3 linked regions of the Drosophila melanogaster genome follow. The protein of the gene in region 1 purifies or fractionates together with the protein of each later gene. This does not show direct contact. Each region holds a gene or a part of one and is shown in the gene's direction. Other genes may lie near its edges. The genes, in order: tn, Ald1 and Pglym78.

Evidence for each region.
Region 2: the proteins of tn (region 1) and Ald1 purify together in Drosophila melanogaster (affinity purification with western blotting; one study listed by BioGRID). This does not show direct contact.
Region 3: the proteins of tn (region 1) and Pglym78 purify together in Drosophila melanogaster (affinity purification with western blotting; one study listed by BioGRID). This does not show direct contact.

Annotation. Positions count from the first base shown.
Region 1 is NT_033778.4:18,983,769-18,990,533, forward strand, and holds the start of tn (thin), read left to right. Parts: upstream 1-3,575; 5' UTR 3,576-3,923; intron 3,924-5,615; exon of another isoform or gene 5,616-5,920; intron 5,921-6,007; 5' UTR 6,008-6,098; intron 6,099-6,765.
Region 2 is NT_033777.3:26,258,554-26,265,318, reverse strand, and holds the start of Ald1 (aldolase 1), read left to right. Parts: upstream 1-3,727; 5' UTR 3,728-3,983; exon of another isoform or gene 3,984-4,165; intron 4,166-4,205; exon of another isoform or gene 4,206-4,417; intron 4,418-5,483; exon of another isoform or gene 5,484-5,517; intron 5,518-6,105; exon of another isoform or gene 6,106-6,332; intron 6,333-6,765. UniProt on the Drosophila melanogaster protein: Enzyme of the glycolytic pathway. Glycolysis is essential in glial cells but not in neurons; neurons rely on the citric acid cycle for their energy needs, and on lactate and alanine secreted into the hemolymph by glial cells to fuel it.
Region 3 is NT_033777.3:29,145,371-29,152,135, forward strand, and holds Pglym78 (phosphoglyceromutase 78), read left to right. Parts: upstream 1-2,877; 5' UTR 2,878-3,079; coding exon 3,080-3,182; intron 3,183-3,638; coding exon 3,639-4,136; intron 4,137-4,198; coding exon 4,199-4,365; 3' UTR 4,366-4,531; downstream 4,532-6,765. Other genes in the region: superdeath (suppressor of ER stress-induced death), read left to right, coding at 1-128; CG14511 (uncharacterized protein), read right to left, coding at 463-1,431; CG11882 (uncharacterized protein), read right to left, coding at 1,823-2,510, 2,581-2,684; eIF2D (eukaryotic translation initiation factor 2D), read right to left, coding at 4,570-5,861, 5,920-6,319.

The DNA of each region.
Region 1 (6,765 bases):
CGTGTTTGCCAACACAGCAGCACAATTAATTATGTACATTGGGGCCGCTTTTTCCCTTTTTCCCACCATCACTCCCACCATTTTCTCGCCCCTTTCCTTGCTGTTTGCCCAAGTCTGTGTTTGTGCACACAGAGGGAAAATAATTGGCCATATTATATTGTAATTGAGTCAGCCTTTATAGCAACAAAACATATATTAAATTTAAGTATGAAGGTTTAATTGCGATAATTGTTACTCATAAATAACTGCATACAATTGATTCAGTTATCTAAAATTTATTGGTGACATTGAATGGGGGAAATATTTTGCCAACCATGTACACTTATTTATGAAGGAAATCATAAAACTAAAAAAAAAAAGTACTACAGCTATTTTAAAATAAAAAAAAACAACATTTTTTTGTCCCTTAGATTTTTCAAATCATAAGTTATTAAAACTGTGGAAATATAAGATCGATTGGTATTAAATTTCTTGCACTGCACGACAAAATATCGCGGAGGATGAGAGTCATCCTTGAGCTTAGACGACAGCATATGCTCATGCATGCCTAATTACGATAAATCCTTGCCCTTGCCCGTTCTCACTTACCAACTTTCACCCCATCCTATGCCTTTCACATTCACTTTCGCTTTCCCTTTCCCGCTCTCACTTTCACTCTCGAGTCTCGAGAACAAGCGCGCCCAAATGAAGTAGGCAGAAACAAGAAGAACAACAGCAGCGCCACTTCACAAGGATCATTCGCGTGTGAGTGTGTGAGTTTGTGTTTGCCAGGACTCTTTGGATGTAAGAGTGTGTGTAGGCGTTCATAATTATGGCCGTATTTAGAGAAATTGGTTATTATGTGCTTAACGCCATTTGTCTGACTGGAAATAGTTTGTTTTCGGGGGCCCCCTGCTGTTGGACATATCTTTGTGGAGGTGTGCTTAGCCAGTTTCTTAATCCGGAACCACTTAGTAATTTTTATCTTTTAGTAACGTGTTGGAAGCAAAATAAATAATGAAATGGCTTTAAATATTCTTGAAAAGCTTAATGCCTAGAATATTTTTAATAGTTAAATTAAATTGTACCCTTAAAGCTTAAGCGTTTAAATATGTGTGTTTAACATTATACAGGAATTTTTCTGAGCGGAAAACGGTTGGAAAAATGTAGCATAAATTTACAGAATGTAAATTTCACACTAATTCAAGCTTAACAATTTGAATCAATTATTATTTCGCGGAAAGCTTTAATGTCAATATGCTTTAGTTTATAGAAAATATGCATCAATTAAAGAAAAATTAAGCAGTTCATAACGAGTTTAAACATATACAAGGGATTTCTCTGAAAGCGAATCCATTGGCAAAAAAGCTTAAATTCCTAGAAAATGGATTTTCCACAAATTAACTCTCCATAATTCAATTGAAATTTTAATCCCCCAGGAATTCAAGCTTAAGAATCAATTTCAATATTGGGTATATTTTTTTGACTCTCCTTTAAATTTATCAATTTAATACAGCTTATTGCAAGGAAAAGAGATAAGCTTGGTAGCTATTTTCTTTGTAAAACAAAATGGATTAGCTTACTTCAAAAGCCCTTGAACTAAGCTTATTTTCAGGGCCATAATCCCTGGCCGATTTCAATTAAACTTTGCTGTAAAATACCAATCAACTAGCAACTTTTGCGACCACCCTCTTAGTAAGTTGGACTTGGCTAATACTTGAAATTGTCTGCTAATTCGTAATTATTGCTACTTTACCATGTTGCTCCTGCGTTGACTGAATTGGCTGCCCTTTCTTGGGCAATTAGGACGAGGCGCTGGCTGGCAATGCCAAGTGTCCCCTGGTCGAGTGGCTTTCACTGGAGGTTCCGGATTCCCAGCATACGTGTCCATCAATAATGCGTCCTGGCTGCTGGCTCCTGGCTCGCATCGCCGCAGCCATGCCTTCCATTCGTCAATTGGCCATCCATCAGTTCTAATTAATCATGGCTCGGGCCTAATGAGTTGCTCTCAAATATGCTGGGAATGAATAGATGCCACTATTTCGGACGCTCCGCTAATGGAAATGGGTCTTAACTCGTGCTATACAATTGTCGCCGTTCCGATAGCCTTGTTGCAGTGTTCACAATGCAATGTCCGCAATACGCAATTTCAATTTCACGAGAACCAGCAACTGCGCACAAATCCAGCGGTGATTCTCATGCACATGGAAAATATACGAATCCTTAGTTAATTCTTGGAAAGCAGTTTGATAAATTAATTACTTTCAAAGGAACATCGTTAATTAATAATTTTCGTTATATCAGCATCGAATAGGAGGGGCACACACTTTAACTTTTTATTAGTGACATCAAAATATTATATTGATGAAGAGATGCTGTTCGAAACCTAATTATGTATGTTATATATATTCAAAAAATACATTTGGTTACCATTTTAGTAACTTTTTCTCAGCGTGTAATAGAGGATATAGCTGTGGCTATGGCGTTGTCAGTGGGACTGACCTAGAGTCCGTCAACAACTTGAGCTGCCTTGGCGAACGTGTTGACATCTTTGTTTTGGCCCGCTCATAATTCGCATTTTTTCGGTTTGTTTTTGTTTTGACTGCGGCTGCGGCTTTGTTTTAGCTCGCTATTTTTTCCGAAAATATATTAACGGCTAACCCGATTCATCAGCCTATTGACAAGATGTCATGTGGGACAAGCAAATGACCGAACAAAAGACCGAATGTCTGGCGAGGATGGCTAAATGCAGACCAATCATACTGCATGTGATGACGGAGAGGAATTTGGTATTTATAGAATAATAAGCGAAAAATAAGTAATATTAAAGAACTAAATGATTTAAGACAACATAGTAACAAATGTTGATCTTCTTAGGCATATTATTAATATATATTACGTAAACAAGTGCTTAGAAACAGAACTTAATAAATTAAGATGAAATAAATATTAATAATTCAATGACAAATCTTAAGCGTATATATTTTATTATGATGTCTAGAGTAAAAAACCTACCTATCTCTAAATCATTTGTCTTTCTGTTAACACTTTTAATTATGCTGAATTCTATAACTACATAAAACTCGCGCGATATTTGCTAAGACATCAATTTCCTTATTCTATATAAGTATCAATATTTCTATAAATATTTAAAAAAATTCGAAAATGAATCATTCTGCCAGATAAATGCGTGGGCGTCGATCTTTTCCTCAGCTTTTCTTTCCGCTGGACTAAAGAAAAGTGAAAATCTCACTCTAATAACTGCGAAATAAGCCAGAACAATAACAGGTAAGAATACGTATTGAACAATATATTGTCGCTCTTGGACTTTCTGCGCGACATTGTAAAAAGCGAGAGGAATTCTTACAGACAATTATGGTACATATATTATATTATATGTATATATGTATATAATTCTTGCACAGGTTCGTTGGGGTCGGGTGAAGCTGGGAAACAACAAAAGTGCTACGTGAAAGTGGGAAGAAGACGCAGAAATATTTGTGGCACTTTTGTTGTTGCCTCAGGTTATATTTATAAAATTTCACCTCAAGAACGGCTGATCATCAAGCGTTCGAGAGTCGAGCAGAGAAAAACATTCATTTTCATTTCTGGCACGCTCGCGAGTGGACGTGCGGACCGATACGCCGATAATAGCTATAGCCCAGTTCGATTCCCAACCACCTATATCCATATATATATATCTATTAAGTGTATATAGAGGGGTGCAAAGATCTACCCAAAGATCTTTCACCTGTCGCGCAGTGCGTGAGGGTGCGTCCAAAAGCACCAGTAATCGCGACGCGAGTGTTGGTTTGAGCCAAGGCGGTAATACATCGTACCTCAGTTTGAAAGTGAAGTCAGTGAAAGTCCTTGTGCCGCCAAGGCATGCGAATAAATTTGCAAAAGTTTCGCGAAGCATCAGGAAATAGAGGAAGCCAACGCAAGTGAGTCGAACGGGGTGGATACGTCCTGATTTTAAGCTCGTTTTTGGAAACGCATTCAAATGGAGATGAGCTCGACGCATTCAATGGCTGCTGATTATGTAAAAAAAAGAAGAGAGAAAACGGCGAAAGGCGTGAGAATCTCGGCGAGAGAAGGAGCTTGGGAAAATGTCACCTGGCTGAAAATTGCGCTTTCTCAACATCCCACCGTGTGCACACTCCCACATTCGTGAAAAGCTGTCAAAATTATTTTCATCTCCTTCGGCTTCGCGTTCAAAATTTATTAACAAATTTTGACATAATCATGTATACAAATATATGTTGATGAGGATCTGTTATACGCTATATTACGTGTGTGTGTGTGTGTGTGTGTGTGTGCATATCTCATCAGAAAGCATGGCAATAATTTGCCCACACTCACACACACAGGCACGCACACAGAGACGCACATTGCTCATACGCCGTGTTGCTGCCTTATTTTTAGTTCGATTCAATCAGCGACATTTTCAGAGATTTTCTATTTCCATTTCTGTTGTTTGTGTTTGTCTTTTGCCCGCTGCTCGCTTATCATTGATTGCTTTGTTTGCTTTTGTTTCGGTTTCGGTTTTGCTTTTGCTTGTTCCTTCTCCCATTCTCGCCATCCATTTGGAATGTTTGTGGTGGGCTTTCTCGTATTTATTTTTATATTCACACCTCTCACACAAAACAATTAATTTCTCGTTTCGAAATATAAAAATAAAAATAATACGGAAGATTAAGTGAGAGAGGCGTGTGCGGTTTAAATTTATGTGCCGCCGGAAAGTAGGCAACAGTTTTTTCCAGTTTTCCTTTTAGCTTTATTGCGAGCACTCGCCTCTTTTCAATTCACTTCATCTGCCCTCCAACCCCATCCCTCCTCCGCTCTTTTCGAGTGTGCTTCAGCTGGGCGGAAGTTCAAGGTCGCTGGCAGCATTAAAGAAGTGCCATTGCAGCACGCTGGCAATAGATATCCACCTAAACTAGTTTTGATTCGAATTTACTGGCCACTTTTGCAACTTAAATTAAAAACTGCTCGAAAGTAGCGCGTTGGCAACTTTAAAGTAAATGTATTGCTTATGATTTCTTAGTGTTGTCTCATTTTCTTTATCCATTCATTTAAAGGTATTTTAAAAACTACATAAAGTTGTACACCTTTTTGTTGAAAAGTTTTTGTTTCAACAGACAAATAGCATTTATATTACCAAAATCTAATATGGAAAAATATTCCAAATGTTTCCGAGCTATTGAAGTTTTTAAGTCACTTGTTTTAAGTCAACTTGTTGGTTGCTGAAATCTGTATTATGTTTAAATATTGCTATATTCAAAAGCTTAGTGATTGCAAATAAAACCAATCTGCAATAATACTAAAAACGAAATCATCATAAAATGTATGAATTGATGTATAATTTTTCATGCCACATTTTACTGTATCATTTTAGTAACGCAATGAAGCTCCGAATTGTGCTCATTAAAGAAAATTAATTATAAGGGATATCAATGCAATTGTGTGAACAATTAATTTCTATTAAATTCCCTTTACGCGTTCGATGCTCAAAAGACCGCCGATGTAATCATGTTATTATAGTTTCGGAAATTGGTTTTCCATTGTTTAATTGTTTCCTTTGGTCGAAAGGAACTCGGCCACGGCAAGTTAATTAAAAAGATCTACCTTCGCAGCCATATGCTCGACCCCAGCTGATTATTCATTAACCTGGTCAAGAGTGTGTGGCCCACCGAGGAGCTTATCTGTCGCAGTGCACAATAAGCGAACCTTAAGCGCATTCCGAACTTCATTATCTTCGACTGTCAACCGCGCCCAATCGAATCCCATTCAATACTATCCAATCCCATCCAATCCCATGCCATCCAATGAATTCCAACTTTCACCACCCGCCTTCATCATTGTTTTGCGTGCCGCAGCCTTTGAGGCCGTATAATTAAGTTGGCATGATGCGGCTTATGCGCAGCGTGTTAATGGCCAGGTAAATGGCTACTCGACCCTCACTCCCCACAATTCACTCACAATTGCCTTTGGCTCTAAATTTAATATATTTTCTTTTTAATTTCAGCCAGCAGAGTTAACAGCCAAAGGAACAGGCCCCTTTCAAGGGCGCCTCGGATACCCAAGTAGACAATAAGAAGAAAACAACACTTGGAAACGTAAGTTATCACCGCTGAAATTGGAACGTCACAATACTTTGTAGTTTCTATAGTATTCCTTTGGGAGTGCAGCTAAAATTTCAAAAAGTTTCGATTGCATCTGCTTCTCCCGTCTGCTCCGTTTATTTATAGCCCAAAAATACAGTGCAGTTTTCATTTCTTTATTTGTTTTTCTTTTTGGCCTAGGAGTGCAGACTGCAGTCTGTGAATTCCGGGCTAGTGAGTTCTATTTTCGGCATATTCCCATAGGGAGATAGAATGATATATACAGAGCTAGAGGAGCGAAGTTCTGACCTTGAGAAGCATGCACAGAAAAAAAAACTGCGAAACTGGATAGAATTATTTTGGTAAAAGTAACAAATGTTTGTGTAGGGAACTTAACCTACTTACTTACCGAATGCAATTATATGTAGTTAATAGATACAGATAGATATTTTGAACATGTTTGAGAAAAAGCTTAATTGTAACTTTTAGGGACAACTTTTTGAATGGAATATGAAATTTTAGTTCGTATTGCAGCAAACTAATGGTTTACTGCTACTTAAGTTAAGGGAAAACTTCTAATGGAAGTAGAAACTTTTCACTTGGCACAGAGAAATGTTCCACTAGTTTGACGGAACAGCGAATTCGAGCGATGTTCGCTCCAATTTTCAATGAAATTTATTTT
Region 2 (6,765 bases), on another chromosome or scaffold:
CACCACCACCCCTTGGAGAAATGTGGGGAGCTTCAAGGAGGTTTTGGGATTTGTGAGCTCGTCAAGAATGCCACCGCCCACTGCGATAAGGCTTCCCACCCATAATGCCAAAGTTGCTGGAGGCCATACTGAAATTTCTTCTGGTTTATGGTTATTCAATTTTACAAGGATAATAAAACGTATCATTAAAAGTCTTGGTAATAGCAGCTGATCGCATGACCAGACAAATTCCCTAAGTGGGTGGCGAACAAACCCAAATTAATTCCTAGAAGATTATTTTCCAAAACGTTGAGCAGGAGTATTTATGTTAACATACGTGCGCAATATGAGCTAGCTTGTTATGATTAATTAAGGTAGATTTACAAATTTTACATACCAAAAATATCTACTTTCATAAGCTAATACCTATGATATGCTATTCTTGATATACATATATATAACATACAAGAGCACCATGCCTAAACATTCGAAAATATAAACTTTTTTACAATGCATATGCATATAGTAGATATATACATAAATTAAAAGAAACGGGACCCATATGGCGAAATAAAATAACATTAGAAATACAAAGGGCTCAAATCAAACTTTAACAAGGATGTCCCATACATGTGTCGGTGTATTGTGCTTCTATCGTTGTTTGTTCGCTCATTCTTGTTTGTCCGCAAACAAGCGAAACTGAACACAAAAATTGAATGGGATTTTTCCGAGGACCGGAAAAGCGGCAAGAGCAAACCGCACAAATGCCAATGGAATGACAACCAACCTAGGGGCATGCGGAATGGCCTAAGAATGAATTGAAATTATTTTACAACATTTTCATGTTTCTTGCCATTTGTTTGATTTGCCTCGACCTTCGCCTTCAGGTCACCCCTTTATTGTTTTTATTTCCCTTTTTTTGTATGCATAATTTAGGCTCGAGTGGAGGCCAATTGCACGCGTAAGAAACAAATGAATCCCTCAAAAGAATTGGTTGACCCAAAATAAAACGACATATGTTGCGAAATACCATAAGAAATTTGAGAAAAAATGGCCTAGCAGATGTCAAATTATTGAGCAGTTTTTGTTTTAAACATGCTGGACATAGCACTCGCACATAGTATTTTTTAGTACAGACATTTAAGTTGTCATCCGATTGAATTTGTTTTTAAAACTAACAAGCCAATATATGTATTCTCGAATAGAAACATCTATTTTTGGGAATTTGTATGCTTAAGATTTTATCCACAATTTTTCAATCAAAAATGTTTACCCATCGAGTAAAAAGTAATTAGTTTGCAATGCCTACATTTTCATTTCATATCGGATACTGCTCCATTGAATGACGTTCTCTATTTAATTGAACTCAATCTCCAAATAGCTTTGCAAATCTAGGCTGACGAATAATAGGAAAACGCAATTTGTATCATTTCAAGAGGGATTCCTGAACAAAGATACAAAATTCAAACTGCCAGAGACCATAAACACTTTGTTCCGACCAAGACTAAAAATGAAAAGAGGAAAAGGTAACAAGCATTTATAAATGCCGCAACAAAAGCTAGTGAAATGTGAGCCGGAGACTGGTATGAATTTCGAATTTTGGTTAAGCTATAGCTACTGGGGCGTGGCAGAAAAAGGGGCGGATTAGGTTCAAAGCAAATTGTTGCGGAAGGCAGGAATCAACATTATCATCAGCAAGCAGGATGCTGTTCAGTCGGTTATGGGATACTCATTCTCATTTTGGGCAAATGCAGATGAGGACGAGACAAAACACAGACACAAGTTTAGGGAAGGGGAGGCTTTTCCCTGTGTGTGTGTGCGTGTGTTTGTATATGTGTGGGTGGAGGCGTGGGGGAGTGTTTTGTGTCGCCTTCCGCATATTAATGAGCCAAGTGCCACAAAGCCAAGCTAAACGCGCTCTCATCAATTGCTCAATATTATGACTCTGGCTGGCAGAAATCTGCATACGAAACCCATATTGGTATGTATGCTGAATACTCAGCAAGCCCCGGGAAAACTATTTTGCATTCTTTGTTGCACACATTCTTTTGGTTTTCGTGAACTCTTATAAGAAGAAAAATGGAATTTAAGAAAAAACTATTTCAAATGTCCTTTAACAAAAAGACTAGATAAATAGAAATATAGTATAACCTAACTATAGTTGATCAAAAACTTTTCTAGCTATTTTGCCCTAATCTTTAATCTTGCCATTTATTGTAAAGCAAAAAAAAGGGTTCCATCAATATTAGTTTTAGAAATGAACATTTTTCTGTAGTTTTTTGAAAGATACTTTATAATCTGATCTACATCAACTTTTAATGAGTATACCAAATCGAACCAAATCGTTTCTTACCAAAACTGGGAAAACAATTTATCATTCTTCTGAACCACAAATTCACTCCTCTTTTTCGTATCTCCTCTTTAATTTAATATGAGTTAAAACACAGCTGGTGCTTGAATTTCAGACTCTTATGCACTCCACTTTCGGTTCACATAACTAGAATAATCAGAAATTATTTCGCTTTGGCTGCACCACAGTACGTAGCGTATACGCCGCGGTGTACGCGGGTGTGCGAAGGAGACGCGCAGCGCAAGTGGAACGCAACACGTGTTGGGCGACAGGTGCCGAGCGTTTGGCACACAACTCGACCGACCGACGCACGAATTCGAACTGAAAACTGAACCAGAATCCCCAAACGAAAATGGGAAGCGAGTGAGGCAGGCACGAGAACCGAAACAGGACGAAGGACGAAGCCACGAGGCACAAAGAGAGCGAGGACAATGAAGAGCACTGTGGCTAAGGTTCCTTCATTAGGTAAGCATATTATTTCATATATATCTAGCAACTGTATCACTTTAACTAAAGAAACCTAAGCATAGATAGTCTATGAAATATCTAAAATCCTTTAAATGTTATAACCCGTTCCACAGTCATTCTTTTCATTCAGAAAACTGTGCCAAAGTCATATTAGGACATTTTAAAGAGCGAAACGATTTTCTCTTTCGCTCGAACAGATTGTATGGCAGAATAGGGGGATATTTTCTCAAAGTTTGCGCTCTCAATCAGCTGTTTCCAGTGCCAGGGGGTTGAGTCCTTTAACATTGCAGGAGGTCAGGCATGGCGTGAAAGTCGCTTATCCTAGCTGCTGCTTCTGGCACCCCTCGTTTTTGTTGCGCTGCCGCTGGAGCGCCTGATGCTGATGGTCACGAAAAATTCATTGACCGCCCCAAGTAAAGCAGGTCGCTCGTAATTAAGGTTAAAATACACCAAATTAATTATTCTACCCTCTTTTCAATGCATAAGTAGAATAGGAAATGTTGTTGACAGGTTAAAAGATACAAATACTTGCAAAGATAACACTTCATTTTTAATGCTTTTTTATAGTTTTGGGCAAGAAAGCTTGGCAAGACATATAGTTCACTTGATGAGGATGATTTGGGATGACTATATCCAGCAAGACGCGACATTAAGTTTGTGGCACTTTATTGTTTTTAACATTTCAATACTATTTCAATATATATCGTATAGTGTTTGAGATCTTAAGATAAATTATTTATTATGTTAATACGCTTTGAGCACATTTCATTTAAATTTTTACCGCCCAAACGAAAGCTAAAGCTTCTCAAAGCTGTCTAATAAGTTTTACAGCTTATCTGTTAGGTTCCATCCCCCACTAAAAGCTCCCAGAATGAGCTTTATTTTGGATACCTTTCGTTTGGGGATCTGGGAATTTAAAGCGCTTGGCTCAGTCGGTTGCCCAACACCGTCGGCGACGACCTCCAAACAACCTTTTGGGGTCTCGCTCGGCATGTCTCGCTTATTTCGCTTTGGAATTTCACGTTGACGCCGCAGTCAGCGGTAGCAGAGGCATCGGCAGCGGCAGTAGCAGCGACACGGGCCGAAAATAAAAGCGTTAACCGCTCTCCTCCAGTGCAGCAGCAGCAGCGGACCCAGCCAGTAGCCAGCAGCTAATCACCACATCCCAGATTCAGTTTCCAGTTCGGTGAGTGGGCGTCATACGCAGTGAACAGAACCCCTGAGCCCCTTAAAAAAAATTCAGATATTTTTCCCCCCATTGGCGGCAGTGCAGTTGAAAAGTCGCGTAATCGTTCCCATTTCTCTGGGTGTTTCGTAATCCAAATCTACAGAGCAGCAGCGAATCTGTAGGCGTGTTAGTGTTAGTGAGTGCGTATTCGAATATAGTTTAATTATTCTCTAATCTTACCATTTCCGCGTGCTCGCCACTTTTATGACAAGTTCTAGAACCTCGAGGCTCTCGAGTGTTGTTGACCTATGCACCGCGGTTGAAGGAGTGGGGGGGCTACGCGAACTGCAGGCGATAAGAAGCCTTATCGGGTGACTTTTGGCTCACTTTCGTGAGTAGTAGTTTTCTCTACCGGCTCAACCGGCTCTCTTACTTTTCATCCGCTCTTTCATTCGAGTTCATTTGCTTGTTGGCAGGCTTTCAACTGCAATTTGTAGTCGCCGCTGCGGTTTTTCTTTATAAATAGTTGGCGCAAATGTTAAATGTATGTACTATACATCGCGATATACATATGTATACTTTCCCATCGCTCTCTCGCTTAGACTTCAATTAGCCAACGTCATCGTAAATTCATCAGATTGTTGACGTCTTCTCATGATAGACGCAATATGCTTTTGTCTATTGCATTTTATACCTACCATTTAATTGAGATTTCAGTGAATGAAGGAGAGCAAACATTTTACCGATAGTTTGTAGAGAGTACATGAGAAAAGAGGGGCAGAAGTTTAAGGGTTGTTTTGAAACCTACAGAAAACAAGTTTTGGTACTCCAAAGGACTTCCTTTCAAGATCAACCTGATTAGGATTTTTAAGAAGAGTTTTGAACATTTAAAACAACCAATTTATGTTCCTTTGATCGTTTATATCAAGCTTTGGGAAATTTTATAATGAATATAATGGAATTATAGGTATACATTCTCATTGTAAAGTATAAGCTAATCGATGAAATAAGACTAGATAAGGTACATTGGCTTATCTAGTAAACAGTTACCACAACAAAGTTTTTGGGGTCACATAATAAGGGCATAGATAGAAGTATGGGAGTGCTCGAAGTTTCCTATTTTCAGACAAGTATACAATTATTACCACCCATGTTTACGGCTAATCAGTTGACGTCAGTTCGTAGTAGTAGTAGTAGTATTATCTCAACTGTTGGATGTTCTTTTGACCCACTGTCTGCGTTCAAGGAGGCCGGACCTAAAATCTCGTTATGATAATGCAAAACCTTTGGAACTAAAACGCAACTGGGGGCTCGTTTTTTCGTCGTTTTCGATTCAAAATTTTCACTGATAGCAAGCTCACGAATACATATAGACGGACATGTGGCGGTTTATTTTTATAAACGGTCTCTTGATAGGAACGTAAATTTATTTTGATTGTTTTTTGTTGTCATGCGTTGGCTGCTCTTCGTTCCTCTTTCTTTTTTGTCATCGTATATATTTCGCCTAGTTTTCGAAACATTTCAGTCTTCGATTGATTGCCGGCAAGTGTAGGTGGGTGTTGTCTGCTGAGTGAATCCGCAACATCTATAGATAATTCTATAGATAAGGGTGTACATACATATCTAGTGTCGTTCTGTGAAGTGTGTTTAGATAACTGTTTAGAAATTAATAGATGAAAAAATGATTTGTATTCTAGAGATATATTAATATATTCTTAAACTGTGCAGTATTTTTAATATATGCATATATCAAGCTTTTATAATATCTATCTGTTCTTAGGAACCACAAGCTATTCACGCGTGTACAAAGTGTTAAATATATGGCGTGGGAAATGTGGGGTCGATGTGGTAAACAATATTTCGCGATAAGTTGCGGAGGTCTAATCTCTTAACCTGACATTTATGCCATTCCCAGTCCTTGGCTCACTGTCAATGTCAAACAAGTATAAAATGGGTTTTTAGTCATCGCAGATGACTTCGTATCTGTATCTACATATTGCTGGACACTAGCTATCTCTATCGCACTTCACACGCGCCACACGACTTTCGGTTTTCAACAATTTCTATTCGCATTTCGTAAGCAACAAATTTCGCTGGCAACATTTGTTGCTAAGGCTTGTTGCTTGACCTTGTTCAATGTCAAGCGAAAATTCATGCGCCCTGCGTTGGCGTCGCTGCCTGCAGGAACAGCGCAGCAGCAGCGGCAATAAAAGTGAAAGTTACCACGTCACGCATTATGCGGGTGTGAAGAAGACAGCTGCATTCGGTTAGAGTGAGACACAAGATTCCATGACTTTGATTACATCAGAGGGAATTATTGCCGAGGTTTCCGTGACTTTGCTCAGTTACAAAAACATCATCGTCGAGGTTGGTTCGGATTTTTCTTTGTGATCTAAGCTTAAAACAATTGTTCGGTTTTTGCAAATAGTTTTTAGCAAATTACAGACACTATAAAATAAGACACTATATAATATTTCATTCCAAAAAGTGCAGTGATACTTTTCCAACTTTGTATAGTACAATCCAAGAGGATTTTTCTAAAATGTGAATTTTCATTGATGTTTGTGAGAACCTCTAAAAAAGCTCTATTAAAAGGCAACATTTTATATGTGAATGTTGAGAGTGTAGGACAAACCTAGAAAAAAAAAAATGTGAGAGAGAGAGAGCGAAGAGCTGCAGATATAGAGAAAAGCACGTTTTCCGTGCATGCGCCTTTAATCTCATTCAATCACCCGCTCTTTGCCATCGAATCAGCTGTGAAATACACTACCATGCAAAGCATTTATTATCTTCAATGGAA
Region 3 (6,765 bases), on another chromosome or scaffold:
AGGACGCCCACTGGGACTACGACAGACCCGTGCAACAGATCGTGGAGCACATCGAGACCAGCGTCGACTGGATGAACAAGAACTACAAGTCGATCGTGCGGTGGCTGGAGAACGAGGCGCAAGCGTAAGGAACGGATTCTGCGGCTTGGCTGGATCAAGGCTGCAGCAGTATTAGATTTCGCAGCTGCAACTGCATGGGTTGGGCCACCAATGCATTTATGTGTAATATTTATGTCGCGTGTTTTACCAATTCAGAGTCGCCAAAGAGAGAAAGCCCTTGGCAGATCGTCCAGAGCATCACGTTTTTCATTACTTTTAATGTATGCCTTCTTTTCATAACAATTATGAGTCTTGTAATTTTAATTTGTACTTAAATGTAATTGTAAATGTAAATGGAATTATAACATTGTTCGTCACAAAAAAGTTTTGGAAAGCCTATTCCTGTTTCACAGCCTGGTTTTTTCATTTCGGAACTCTGATCACATTTGCAAACATCAAGGTGCCCACAAAGACTAGCGCGGTGCCCAGCCAGTGCCACCAGGTGAAGGGATTTCGGAAGTATACGATCGAAAAGACCAGCGAGATGAACTTGCGGAGTGTGAGGATCAGAGTCACCGTCAGCGAGCTGCACTCCGTGGTCAGGGTGTAAACGGAGCTGATGCACAAATGCTGCGCAAGCACGTTGCCCAATAAGTATAGCAGGATTAGGGGCACTGCCACGCCCAGGAGGGGCAACTGGTAGGACTCGCCCGTGAACGCCAAAAGCCAGTGCGTCCGTATGTCGTCATGCATGAGCAGGAAGGCGGGCAGCGGCAACAGGTGGGTGTAATACAACGCTTCCCTGGCGCACTTGCCATGACGTCGATACAGCAACTCCTGTGTAATTCCCATGTAGGAGGAAACAAATAGAGCCAGCACCAAGAGTGCCACGCCCAACAGCCACCAGAACGTATCCGCCTCGGCGCCACTATCCAAATTCTCCATCTTACCCACCAAATCCGGACTGGAGAAATATGTGCAGACGAAAATGCCCACGCTGATCATGAGCACCGATATGTACTGACTCAACCGGTAACTCCTCTTCAGGATCAACGTGCACAGGCACATGTTGGAGATCAGCGAACCGCCGCGTATGATCATGTGCAGTGTCATTGGAACTTTGAACTTGAACACGTAGTTGTTGCATACGCTGGTCAGGAAAAACATGGCCACGAGGAGCGCATAGTCGCGCAGGCTGATCACTCTCTGGGCCAGGCCAAACTTCGAGGTGAAGATGAAGCCCTCGAGGGCAATAAATGCAAACTGGGCGCCAGTTATAAGGTTTCCAGCGCCGGGATCCAGTTTAACCAGGAGCTCCAAGAAGACGACGCCACTGCAGCAGCCCAAGAAAACGCCGCAGATGGCCGAAATAGCGCGGATGGATAAATTCATGAACTCGCGCAACGAAAGTAGACGATTCCCACCAACTTTAACCTACGATCTGGGCCATGACGAGCTTTTAAGCCAACTTACTTTCTCTTCGGCCATACAAAACGTAAACAAATGCAACAGGTGGTTATCGATAAAGTTCGGTTCGGGCACAGCTGATGTTGGTCTATCGAAAGTGGTTGAAATTCAAATATTCCAAGCGAAAAAGAAAAAATTTATGATTTTAAGAGAAGAATATTTTATTTAATGTACATTACATTCAAAACCAAACTTAAATATGTTGCCTAATCACATTCGAAATATTCGCACCAACAGTCTTTTACAACAATTACAAAATACAATGATGACAATGCTAAGAAAGAAATTACAGATTAGCAAATTAATGGTATATTACTTATTTTTCCTTTTCCAGCAAGGCAATAATTTTGTTTAACTTTTCCGTCTGCTGGGCCTCGAAGTTGTCCAGTCTCTTAGACACTAACAGCGTCAGCTTCTCAAATCTCATGTCGATGTGCTCCTTGAGGATTGCAACATCGGTGGAAGGCGGTGCAGTCTCTTGGGTTTGGTCCTTCGCCTGCGGGGAATAGCCCTTCATCAGGCTCATGAACTGCTCGAACTTTTCGGCCTGCTCCTCCTTCTTCAAGGGACTCGTGCCACCCCTTTGCAGCAGCTCTTGGATTCGCTGCGCATCCATTGGCCTGGGCAACTGGGTGGTTATGCCGTTGGGATTCGGCGCCACCTGGAGCAGGGCTCCGTAAACGCAGATCTCGCTGGCCGAGGTGAGCATCTTCAGGTTTATGTCATTTATCCCGGATCGGTCGATTTCCATGTCATAGCGATAGGGTCGCACCGCAACCTCTGGGTCCTCATCGTCGACGCAAGTGCCGTAGATGGTCTCGCAGTACTCCTGCAAGGGTCCAATGAACAGCTCCACCTTGGGAGCGCTGCAAATCAGGGTGAGCGCGGCGATTTTGAAGCGGTTCGGGATCTGGAAGCGCAGCTCACAAGGCGGCGGCGGATCCGCCGACTGCATGGAAAACAGCACGGCGCGATTCTCGTCGATCACGTCGTCCAAGTCGGGCCTGCGGACAAAGGAGGTTTCAAAATTACTTGATAAAAACCAGTTTCGGGGCGTGGAATCCTTTGTCTCACTTCACAAAGACGTCTTCGTCGGACAAGCGGGTGGCCACCAGTTGGTCCAGCCCGTTGCCCGACAGCTGGGGCCAAGTGCAGCGCGCGGTGACCTTTTCGCACATGCTTTAAGTGACAAAAAGTTGGAATTTATGGGAGCAAAATTTAAAAACAGCCAAATTTAAAAACCAAAACACGAATATAGTGATGACAAACGCGAGCGATAACATCTGCGCGGGGGATGCCAACCTGTTGCACAGCGCAAACTAATTGGACATTTGAAGGTAGCTTGACGCGCTATTCCAATAAGACCATACTCCGGAGTCCAATCAGAGAAGGCACCGCATCTGCGCACTACGTTTTTCCAACAGAACGGCAATATCGCGGCCTGACAGCTGCGACCTTGGACGGCTCCCTTGTAGGTCAAACTTCAGCAGAATTCCCACATATTGCAGTCGCAGCAAGGCGGCAGCTTAAGAACGAGTACACAATTATCCGCAGAGTGATCAACGCAGCTAAAATGGGCGGCAAGTACAAGATCGTGATGGTGCGCCACGGCGAGTCCGAGTGGAACCAGAAGAATCAGTTCTGCGGCTGGTACGACGCCAACCTCAGCGAAAAGGGTGAGTGATTACATCAATTTGAAATTTAAACCTCATATGTGGGATTAAAAATCTGATGTACATCTAGTTTCCAATCGATGATCCTTTGCTTTGATCAGTTTCACAATAGTATTCCTTTTCATTTACCCAAATTAATCTTCATTGACCTAGTGCAACATTATCTCATTCAAACTTTTCTGTGATAAAAATAGGTCTCTACAAACAAAAGCTTTCCAGTGCAATTTTCAGAAGCATCAAAATTCTAGTTTGTTACACTTTAAAGTCAAAAATTTGCCATCTCATATGTTTCTAAAGTTCAGATTATGCTTATGAGCATAATTTGATAGGTTATCGCCTTTTTTTAACCCTAGTAATCAAATTAAATTAAACGCATGCCTTTCAATTAGATTAAATTGGCTTACGTTCGTTACCCAACACGGCGTATACTTAATGTTCGCTAAACATTTGCCCAAACAGGTCAGGAGGAGGCCCTAGCCGCCGGCAAGGCCGTCAAGGATGCCGGCCTGGAGTTCGATGTGGCCCACACCTCGGTGCTGACCCGCGCCCAGGTGACGCTGGCCAGCATCCTGAAGGCCAGTGGCCACAAGGAGATCCCCATCCAGAAGACTTGGCGCCTGAACGAGCGCCACTACGGTGGACTCACTGGCCTGAACAAGGCCGAGACCGCCGCCAAGTACGGCGAGGCCCAGGTGCAGATCTGGCGTCGCAGCTTCGACACCCCGCCACCACCGATGGAGCCGGGCCATCCGTACTACGAGAACATCGTCAAGGATCCCCGCTACGCCGAGGGTCCCAAGCCCGAGGAGTTCCCCCAGTTCGAGTCCCTCAAGCTGACCATCGAACGCACACTGCCCTACTGGAACGACGTCATCATTCCCCAGATGAAGGAGGGCAAGCGCATCCTGATCGCTGCCCACGGCAACAGCCTCCGTGGCATCGTCAAGCATTTAGACAGTGAGCATGGGAGACATAACATATATCATATCATCTTTTTACCATATCCTTGTCCAATCCAGACCTTTCTGAGGACGCCATCATGGCCCTAAATCTGCCCACGGGCATTCCGTTCGTCTACGAGCTGGACGAGAACTTCAAGCCGGTGGTGTCCATGCAGTTCCTCGGCGACGAGGAGACCGTGAAGAAGGCCATCGAGGCTGTGGCCGCCCAGGGCAAGGCCAAGTAAGCACGCAGGCCACACCTCATGAGAATCCACTCAAATACGGCACAAGTCAGAGCATTCTGATTACGCTTCTGTTCAAGATGTAGCCAATCCCATTCGTTGTTGTTGTTCGCGTAGCAGTAATTGGTTCATCCCCACTACAGTTAATAAATAATTTATTATTACACTCAAGAGGACAGGCGGAGGAGGCTTCATTTATTGTCCGGCTCACTTCTTCTTATTCTTCTTGCCGTCCTTGGCCAATTCCAGGCCCAGGATGCACTTGGGCGGCACCTTGTACGTTTCCGTGAGCAGCGTGTGCACAAATCGCACCTGGTTGCCCTGGATTTGCAGCTGCTCGTGCTTTTGGTGCGGCAGTTTCACCACACTGGTGCTGGCGGCGGCTCCCTGCTTGCACAGCTTGATGAACTCGGCCAGGATGATGCCGTACGCCTCGATGTTGCTGACCAGCGTCACCTTCTTGTTGCCCGATCGCGTGGCCAGGGACATCTGGATGAGGGGCTTCCCGCTCGTATCTTTGCCGCTGCACATCTGGTAGGAGTGCTCCATCTTGCTGGTGATGAGGGAGCACATCTCGCTTAGCGAAACCTCTCTGTTACCATACAGCTCGATCAGAGTGTCGTCGGGGCGCACCAGCTTGGTCAGCGGATGGAGGAGACCATGTTTGCTCACGTACTCCCGCACAATCTTCTTGATCTGACCCGCCGGGATTCCCTCGCCGCGCTTGTAATTCAGCTTGGTGAAGAAGGCCGCCGTAACATCGGTCACTATGTACATCTCCTTCAGCTCGGAGTGGAACAGGGGCGTCTCGGACGCCGCTCCATTAGCTTCGCTTGCCTTGACATCGGTTATAAAGTTCACCACTTCGGGGTGCTCCAGGTCCACAGATGTGATTTTATCCACTCCCTTGCTCTCCTCCCGCACCACAATGAATCCTTGGTCCACCATCTCGGCCAGAAAGTTGGAGAGCTTTTTGTAGCGCGTCTTCTTCAGGTCGATTTGCTCCGTGGCCTCCGTGACCACATAGAGTCTGTAGAAATTGCTCGTCAGCAGAGGCAGGGGCAGCTTCTTTCCATGGTTTTTCAAGGCGGAGAGGAAGGCATTCTTGAGTATAAGTTCTGGTGAGGCTTCCTCCACGGCTTCTTCGTCGGACTCGGGAGCTTCCTGGCTTTCCAAGGTCAGAGCAGCAGTTTCCGTTTCCAGTTCCTCGGTTTGGGCCACCGTAGCGAAGGTCACAGGAGCGGGAGTAGCTGGGCTGGCGGTCTTTCTCCTTTCCGTCTCAGACCCAAGAGCAGGGAAATCCTCGCCAGACAAGGCCTTTGTCTTGACCAGCGGGATTTGCTGCACCAGACTGGGCTCATGCGACCAGAGCTTGTCCCCAAAGAGGTGGAGCATCTTGATGGCCACACCGTGACCTCCGCACATGTACAGTTCATCGCTGGAGCGAGCCAACTGGCCCACGCCCACCGCAGATTTGTTGTTTGTGAGGTTTACGGCCACTGAAAAAGACAATGAGATCAATACTCGTTACCTGGGGAATCCCAAGCAGATACCCACTCAACTGTCCCTTTTTGAAGTGCCCGTACATGCTCAGTCCCACGCCCAGGGGCACCACTCCGGGCAGCATGAGATCCGCTCCGTTCGTCAGCTTGGGTAACACACCCTCGTGGGTGGTGAAATAGGGCAGGATGTCCGGAACGATCCACAGGGTGTACAGGGTGGGCACAAGTTGACCGCCGTCCAGCTCGAAGAACAAAGGCAACTTGTCCACGCAGTAGACCATGCTCTGAACACCGCCGTGCGTTAGGATCTTCACCTGGGTCACCGCCGCCTTCGCCGGCACCAGCTGATCCACGGACACATGGGGGAACGCCGCCTCCACGCGCTGCCGGAACTTCTTGCTATCGGATCCCTTGAGGGCAGCACTGCTCTTGGGTCTGTACGGCTTGAGAAACATCTGTGTTTGGTGGTGTGCACTTGAGGAGTTCGTGAAATGGTTTGGAGTGGCACATGCACAGTGAAAACAAACAACTGGCAAACGGGGGTGCTGCTTTAGCTATTTTCTCGCCAGTTTGTATATTTAAAAAAATATCAATGGGATTCGATATTCTAAAACCAAGTATAAGAAACATAAGAATAAGATGCAGAAAAAGAAATTAACATAAAATAAAGAAGTGAGTCCTGTCTTTTCTTTTCACAATAACTCTACCCTAAATCAAAATTAGTTAAGAGCAGACGTTATTACAAGGACAGCACGCGCAGTAAAAATGCCGGCGGTCCGGAAAATTTCGAATCACCAAGGACTTCCTCAGGTAGCAAACGACAGAAAACCCAGGATCTTGTAAGACGCCATTTTATTCAACAAAACATCTGCGTAACAATTCCCCGTACACGGCCTTGTGA